Ovis aries: one gene and its partner. The protein of the gene in region 1 purifies or fractionates together with the protein of each later gene. This does not show direct contact. Links are inferred from orthologs where the notes say so. Each region holds a gene or a part of one and is shown in the gene's direction. Other genes may lie near its edges.

The links.
Region 2: the proteins of UBR2 (region 1) and UBE2B purify together in Homo sapiens (affinity purification with western blotting; 3 studies listed by BioGRID, with this or other methods). This does not show direct contact. The link is inferred for Ovis aries from reciprocal best matches to the Homo sapiens genes UBR2 and UBE2B.

The regions. Positions count from the first base shown.
Region 1 is NC_056073.1:16,300,327-16,304,140, forward strand, and holds part of UBR2 (E3 ubiquitin-protein ligase UBR2), read left to right. Parts: intron 1-1,723; coding exon 1,724-1,983; intron 1,984-3,814. UniProt on the Homo sapiens protein: E3 ubiquitin-protein ligase which is a component of the N-end rule pathway.
Region 2 is NC_056058.1:43,580,974-43,585,587, forward strand, and holds the start of UBE2B (ubiquitin-conjugating enzyme E2 B), read left to right. Parts: upstream 1-1,798; 5' UTR 1,799-1,925; coding exon 1,926-1,969; exon of another isoform or gene 1,970-4,078; coding exon 4,079-4,159; exon of another isoform or gene 4,160-4,614. UniProt on the Homo sapiens protein: E2 ubiquitin-conjugating enzyme that accepts ubiquitin from the ubiquitin-activating enzyme E1 and transfers it to a E3 ubiquitin-protein ligase. In vitro catalyzes 'Lys-11'-, as well as 'Lys-48'- and 'Lys-63'-linked polyubiquitination.

The DNA.
Region 1 (3,814 bases):
ATGGAGGCAGTGCCAGTAGAGATGGAGAGAAAGAAATGGGTGGATTCAACAGATGTTGAGGAATCCTAATAGACAAGACATGATGATTAACTGAATGTTGTTTTTCTGGTTTGAATACCTGGTAAATGCTGGTGTTTAAAATAGGGAAATGGAGAAAATAGCAGGGGGTTTTGTGTTGTGGGAGATCATGAGTTCAATTTGGGACATATTGAGTTGGTGCCCGAAAGGAAAAACTATTTCTTCTGTTTCTGTTTACATTCACACCAACACTCCCAGCCACCAAATGTAGGGGAATGGTTTTCCCACATCAAGCAATTCTCTCCTCAGCAGACACCAATTGGGTGCCCTACAAGTTGGTCAATTCTGACACTATATACCTGGAGGTAGCATCAGATCCCCAAAATTAAGGGCTCAGTCCCACAAAGCTGCCCCCATTACTACTTCAGATGCCACTCATAAGCAGGGGGTTGTCAGGTTACCCACAATTTATGTTGCAAATGAGGGGAGTTCCTGTGACCCCCTCTTTGGGTTCAATAGTTTGCTGCAGTGGCTGCCAGAACTCAAGGAAGCAGTTTATTTACTAGGTTACCTGTTTATTATAGAATGATACAACTCAGGAATAATCAAATGAAATAGAGGAAGGTATGTGGAGCTTCCATGCCCTCCCTGGGCACGTTAGCACCTCTGCCTGTTCACCAAGGAAGAAAGTGGCTGAACCTCGACACTTTGGGATTTTTATGGAGGCTTCATGCCTCCAAAGGCGTGATGATCAAATCATTGGTCATGAGTGATTAACTTCACCTTCAGCACCTCTCCCTTCACCGAAGTTGGTTGGGGTGGAGGCTCTAAGTTCCCACCTACTAATCATGTTCCTGTGGCAACCAGCTCCCCATCCTTAGGGGCTTTCCAAAAGTCACCTCAGTAACTGCAGTTCAGGTCTGATTGAAAGAGGTTTGCTTTGAATAACAAAAGACACTCCTTTCTCCTTTATCTCACTTATACTTAGGACATTTCAAGAGTTTTAGGAGCTCTGTGCCAGGAATGAGAAAACCAAAAATATGTTTCTTATTGTAAATTATAATATCACAATATCTGTTAGATATCTAAGTAAAATTACCACAGGTAGTAGGGCATGAAAGTTTGGGTACAGGAAAAAGTGGCTTTCTAAAATGTTTTAAGGGTTTAAGCAGAGGTTGATCAGGGGGAAAAGAACATAATCATTAAAACAAAGTCTCTTGTGCCGTGTCATTTATTAATCATTGAGAAATAGAATTAGTATATTGGCTGTTCATGTTTACTGTATGTTCTTCCTGTCAGCAAACTGAAAAGAGAATCCAGATCACAAGCAGAGTATCATTTGAACAAAAGAAATTAGAAAGGAAGTCGGATGGGCTCAATGGCTAGCATCTTTAAGATGATTTGTTGTGGTTATTTTCCTGGACTGCCTATAGAAGGTTGCTTCAGGAGTCATTTTGAGGAGATGGGCTCATTTCACTGTTGATTTTGCTTTCACTTTAAGTAGAATTCTAAGATACTGGCTATTGTAGTTAAATTCTAAATGTTTTACCCTTTTTGAAAAGGCATACAGTGATGAATGTTGTCAATAAAACAATTTATAAGATTCTTTTGTCATTATTTTTTGTGTCTAGAAGAAAATAGAGTAGATTTATTTAAATTTGCAGTTTCTTGACTTTGTTTAAAATTATTTTTTCTTTTTTTAAAGAAATGGCTGCAAGCAACTGACCTCACTAGAGAAGTATACCAGCATTTGGCCCACTATGTACCCAAAATCTACTGCAGGGGTCCCAACCCTTTTCCACAGAAAGAAGACATGTTGGCACACCAAGTTTTGTTGGGACCAATGGAATGGTACCTTTGTGGTGAAGATCCTGAGTTGGGATTTTCCAAACTTGAACAAACAAATAAACCTTCTCATCTTTGTGGTCGTGTTTTTAAAGTGGGAGAACCTACATACTCTTGCAGGTAAGATATTGCCATTTTCTTTCTTTCCTTCTTGTTTTCACTTGACTTATTTTTTTCTTGAAACCTTACATTTTAATTTTTAAATTATGAAATATTTTATATATGTATGTGTGTGTAAGTCTACACAACAAATATATTTGGTTTAATAACTTATTATAAACAAATGTTATTTTCCAGGTCAAGAAGTAGAGTATCACCAGGATTTCAGAAACCCATAGTGTGCTTTCTTCCTCCCCCACAGTTAACCCCTACCTTGACTCCTGTAATGATCGCTTTCCTGCTTTTCTTGATGGAGTGATTCTTTCTGATGTTCGAATTACCCCATGTTTGGCCTTTGAGTGCCCCATCACGCTAGCTTCTTGGTCCCTTTTCCCGTGCCTTTCATAGTCTTTGGGTGCTTCTTTGCTTTCTGGCACAAGATGTCCACACCTCACTTTGTACTTACTCTGACCCATATGTGCAATCAGTCACTTATGCAGGGAGTTTCCTTTTAGTTGGGAATGTTAGAAACTGTGGTCTGGGTGCTATATGTACTTACTGCTACTAGGCTGACTTTAAATTTCTTGTTGAGAATTGAGTGTACAAGGGTAGAAGATGGAGAGGAAAGTGCTCTGTTTCCCTTTAGGACGATCTCCTATTTCTCAGAACTAATCATTATTGACAAACTCTTATGTAGCCTTCCAGAAATTTTCTGTGCATATACATGCCCATATATGGGGCTATCTTAAACATATATATGCAGACATACGTAGAAAAGGGACTATGGTAGATATACTGGGCTAAGTTTTCCTTTCTCTACAAAATCTTGCCATTGATATCTGTCCATGTCAGCTCATATAGCTAGATAATGTTCCATGTGTGGATGCAGTATTGATTGTATAATATTTTTTCTTTTAGACTTTTTCCCATACAACTTAATTTTGGTTATAACTTCTGGGTGTCTGTGGCAATCTTTCTTTATGGTTAGAATACCAGTCAAGAGCTTTTTGTATATTGAAAGACTGTTAGATCTAGTTTTTTGTTTGTCTGTACAGAAACCTAAGTCCCTTATTGGTATTTGGAGCAGTAGATCTAGTTTAATCTCATGATTTACAGATGAGGAAACTGAGATCCAGTTGTTGCAATAACATCCTTTGTATCAAAAATATCCAGTTCCAAAACATGCATTTGTATGTCACGTCTTTCAGTCTTCAGTTTGGAATGTTGCATTGGTTTTTCTTTGGCTTTCATGATCTGGACACTTTTGACAAGCACAGGCCATTTATTTTGTAAATGCCTGTCAGTTTGGGTTTGTCTGTACCCTTCATGGTTATAGTCAGGTTGTCTCTTTCACAGAAATATTACAAAAATCACATGTTCTCAGTGTTCCAGTAGCATATGATTTTGGTTTGGTTCAAAAGCTCTTTAACTTTGATCACTTGATTAGGGGATTTCTGCAAGGTTTCTCTACTGTGGAGTTACTCTTTTTCCCTCTCTAATCACTAAATATTTGGTGGTGAGATACTTTGAGACTATTAAATATCCTGTTTCTTACCAAATATTCAGTTTTTTATTTGTATCAGTATGTATTCATGGAGTCCCATTATTCTGGTGGTCAAAATTGTCCTAGATTTGACCAGTGGGAGGCCCTTCAAGCAGTTTCCCTGGTGGCTCAGACGGTAAAGAATCTGCCTGCAATATGGGAGACCTGGATTCCATCCCTGGTTGGGAAGATCCCCTGGAGAAGGGAAAGGCTACCCACTCCACTATTCTTGCCTAGAGAATCCCCATGGACACAGGAGTCTGGCGGGCTGCAGTCCATGGGGTTGCAAACAGTCAGACACAACAGAGT
Region 2 (4,614 bases), on another chromosome or scaffold:
CAACTAGGTTATGACAGGGTTGGTAACCAGGACAACGTATGATTCTTGCTTATACAATAAAGCTCTCGGACTTTAATGAAACTTACTTGATTTGATCGAAAGCATTACTTCATTCTGGAAAACCATGAACTGTAGATTTCCAAAACAACTATAATTGCTAAACAAATGACACGACAGATTAAAAAAAAATTTTAGCATTTCACTGTAGGTAACCCTAACAGTATGTCTCCATCCTTAGCTATAGGGATTGCTATGGCAAAAAAATGAAAATAAGAAAATAACTTTTTGACTTAGAGAATTACATTTGTCGGTGGGTATCTATCAAGTATTAGATCTGGCTAACTTGATTACCAAGGCATTTAATAAAAGCAAGAGAAAGAATTCAGGGATTGAAGAAAGAGAGGTACCAGAAAAGTAGGGGAAACTAACCCTTTCTAGTTCAATGAAAGTATGCCCAACGCCATATTCCTCATTCTGTCTTACTGTAACACCTTGGGTTGAGGAATCACCCAAATGGACTTAAAGAGCTCAGGGTTCAGCCAAAAAAAAAGTCTTTAAGAACAGAATTGGAGGCGATAGAGGAAGGAAACTCAATGACTAGAAATAATGTCAGAATTCCAACGGCCAGTATCTCTGAGCCCCGGTGGGGGACGTTTCAGGCTATTAACTTACTAGTGTTGAAAATCTGAAATAAATTACTCAGGCTAGATATACAACCCCTATCCACGTCTGCATGATCTCTCCCCCACATGTGAGTCAAACTTTTAGGTTTGGCAACTAGTCACCTACACTCTCTTTATACACACTCTCTATGATCAAACCTGCACATTTCTTGACAAATACAATGGTACCCCACTGTAGACCAATCCAAGGACTCTGACACAAAGCCTCAAATAAGAGCAGACTCATAAAGGATAAACAAAATTCCGTAATCCTGTGGGGATTGTAAACAAACATTAAACAATCTGTACACCGTTCTTTAATCTCTGCCCAGCATCGCCAACCCTGGAAACACACTGCAATGCTCATACAGTAATATTTGGTGGCCCTAAGGAAGCATTTCAGGGGATTTCGCTTTGTATGGGCCTCTGCATTCAGCTGAGGAAAACGGAGGTCCCTTCACTTTTCCTCAGATGCCAGATTTGATAAGCCATTGAGCCAACCAGAGGGGAGTTTTAAATCCAAATTATTTGGGGCTCTATTTTAAAGATTTAAGAAGCAAAACAAACTACTGCTTCCGACACAATCTCATCAATAGCTGTCCACAGGACAAAATGGAGAAAAAACATAAAAGTGCCTACCAGCCCTCAGCCCATAAATTTAACTACCGGGCTGAAAGACGGCTGAAAGTTAGATCCAGGAGACGCTCTCACGTGATCCGTCCTAATGGCGTCATAGGGACACGTGGTTCTAGATACTTCGTCCCCTCCCCCTCGGAGGTGGATTGTTGACAACGCCGCCGGCAGTCACGTGATCTTACGTCATCCTACCTCCTTTCCCTGAAATCTCTGGCCCCGGATGCGTCCCTCTCTCCCCACCCGGCTGAGCCTAAACTAGTGAAAGAGGGGGAGACGGGTTGGTGTTGTTTCAGTTCCGGTACTTCTTTATCACAACCTCCAGTCTGAGCATAAGGAACAGTAATTGGTCAATTCGTTCAAGGAGACAAAAGGGATAAGGTCCCTGGTGAAGGGGCCCCGTAACTAGCTCTCCTACGTCCCGTTCCCTTCTCCCCCACCCCTCACTGCATGGTACCGGCGGAGGGCGGAGGGATCTGGAGGCGGCGGAGGGAGACGTCATTGCAGGGTTGTTTGTGCAACCTCGGCAGCGGCGGCGGTGACCCACAGTGATTCGGCCGCCGCGCCGGGGGGTGGGGGGGCTGCGCGGGACTCTTTTCTTTCAGACTGACCGCGGGGCTGCTGGGGAGCATGTCGACCCCGGCCCGGAGGAGGCTTATGCGGGATTTCAAGAGGTAAGGGCCTTCATTTTCGCCTGAATGACGACTCCTCCCCGAAGCTCCGGGGCTAGGGTGGGGATCCGGGACACCTTCCCCTCTTGACCCTAAGAGGGCTGCTGTGGGCCCAGGGGGACAGATGGAAGCCCAGTTCCAGCCCCGCTTTAGCACTCTCTTCTCCTTGGTTGTTCACTTGTCCTACGTAAGAAATTTTGATACTTCCTCACCACCACCCTACCCCCACAAAAAAGTAAAAAGATGGCTATGGTTTGTCCTACGATTCCCTGCTGCCCACTGCGGCCAGTTGCCTGATACCTCGCCCTGGCTTTCAAATCTCATCCTTCGCCTCTGCACCCTGCGGTGCCTCTTCTCTCTGCCCTAAGAGCGAGCCCTTGCAGAAGCCTTTCCACCGCTAGCTACACCAGTCAGCTTTGTTCGATGGCCTTGCCGCCTTTCCGACTGCCAGGGTTGGGGCCAACCCCCGCCTCCCTCCCCATTCTTTCTGCAGTGAGGGTGGGGTCTGATGCGCGAGGGCCGGAGGTTGTTAACCCATCCTCCGAAACCCGACTCTTCCCCCCCCAATCCCTCCCCGCCCGCCTGAAAGGACCTTGAGAACTGGCTTAGAGGGCTGCGATTCGGGCTGGCAAACCCGGCTGCCAGTGCTTTCTGGAACTCAGCTCTGTGGCCTGGTGTGTAAAGACCTATCTATAGCCTCCAAGGTCTGGAAAAATGCCTTTCTGGAGGCTGGGGCTAAGCTGATACTCCCTGAGCCTCTTTTGTAAAATAGGGTTTTGTTAGATATTAGGGTTGATGAGGAGGAAGTGACTTTTTTCCCCCCAGTTGTTTTACTTTGAATGCTTACAGGTACGGAGAAGAAAATAACCAAGAAAACTTAGCGTTACGCTCCCGTGCGCATTTATAAGTGTTTTTCTAGGGAGATCTGCCCTGCTCGAGAGAAAAAATCCAGTGTAAAAACTTGGATTGGCTTATCAGGAAGTAACCTCTCAACTTCATTGTAAACCTTTAAATGAGGCACTTGGAAGCCATTGTTTGGGGCTTTGCCCAGTTTGGCCTTGAGTGTATTGGTAACTTAGCCTTTATCTTTGGTGGGCGATATCACGCCCCGTATCTTCCAAGGGTTCTTCTTTTCGTCGTGGCCTGTACTGCTTAAGGTTGACTAAAAGCCATTTTGGGGGACTAATTCCAAGAATCATATCACATGACGGTGTGTTTATGTGTGTGTGTGTGTGTGTGTGTGTGTGTATATTTAGTGTCGCGTTTACTTTTTTTCCTGAGATGACAGTTTTAAAAGGAGATACTCCTTTTTGTGCAAAACTCTGTTTCTACAGCTTGAAACCATAGATTTCAGATTAGCTCCCATGAGTGAAATTCCAATAATAAAATTTCGAGGTTCCTGGCCTTTGGTACCCTGGTTTCTCATTGCAGTTCTCTGCTTAATTCTGAGTTGTGTGCTTGGCACCTTCGGTAGTTTTCCAAGGGTCGTCTTTTGCAAGAGTTTGTAACAGGTGTTGGAAGGTAGCTCTGTATATGGGCGCATGATCTGAGAGGTAAAATGCAGTATTGGTGCAGAGCTTTTAAAATAGGGACTGAGGGAAAACCTAGCCAGAGCTTTGCTTACTCTAAAAGCTGCTGCTAACGCAAATGGAATAAAGTAGTTCTACTGCCCAAAACTAGTTTCCTGATTAAACTGGATGCAAGTGTTTTTCAGTCATTTAATGTTTACACTGAGGTGGGGTCTTTATATTTTGTTTGGGGGAGAGTTTTTTTGGTGGCCATGTTGCCCAAGTAGCTTTGGTTAGGACTCACACAGCCTTTGCATGTTTACAGTAGCAAAATTGATAGTTGAGTAAATAGTGTTTTTTTACACTTGAGGTTTTTCCTTTGTTGTTATTGTTAAAAGTAGTTCTTGAACAGATATCTTAACCTTGGTGATATTTGAAGAGGGATGACTCCCAAGCCATTTAAAGTGGTATGGTTTATTCCAGCTCAGCACAACAAGAAAATGGATTTAGTTTGTTTCTCAAAGTAGATGGTTGAAAGATGTTTGACTGGCCTTCTTAGTGGCCTTAATGTTCAACTTTTAAAATTTCTATTCTGGATTTCTAGATTGCAAGAGGACCCACCTGTGGGTGTCAGTGGCGCACCATCAGAAAACAACATCATGCAGTGGAATGCAGTTATATTTGGGTGAGTTGAAAGAAATAACAAATGGTAGGTATGGTGATTCTTTTAAGAAAATTGAATGTATAACAGCTAGGAAGGGAAACTTTCCTAGGGATGAGGGATCTTACAGAAACTGTAAGATTTAAAAAAAATTCTGATAGAGTTTTGGCAGTCACATAAAATTTGATTTTATAATCAGTGGGTTTTATTTGATAAAAATATCATTTGAGACTACAGGAGAATGATAAGTTTGTACAAAATGTGCCAAGCAAATGCTTAGTATGTATTCTACTAGAACTGTAAAAAGAGTAGGAACCAAAAATATTGATAACTTCCACCATAGTAAGAATTTAAATAAAAAATGTTTGACAGCTTAATGTGAAATAACTGTATGGAGCCTTTCAAGGTGCAGTCTTATATTTTACATATAGTATGTATTGCATGTAGGCGTATTTGTATAAGAGCATTATTTCTTCATG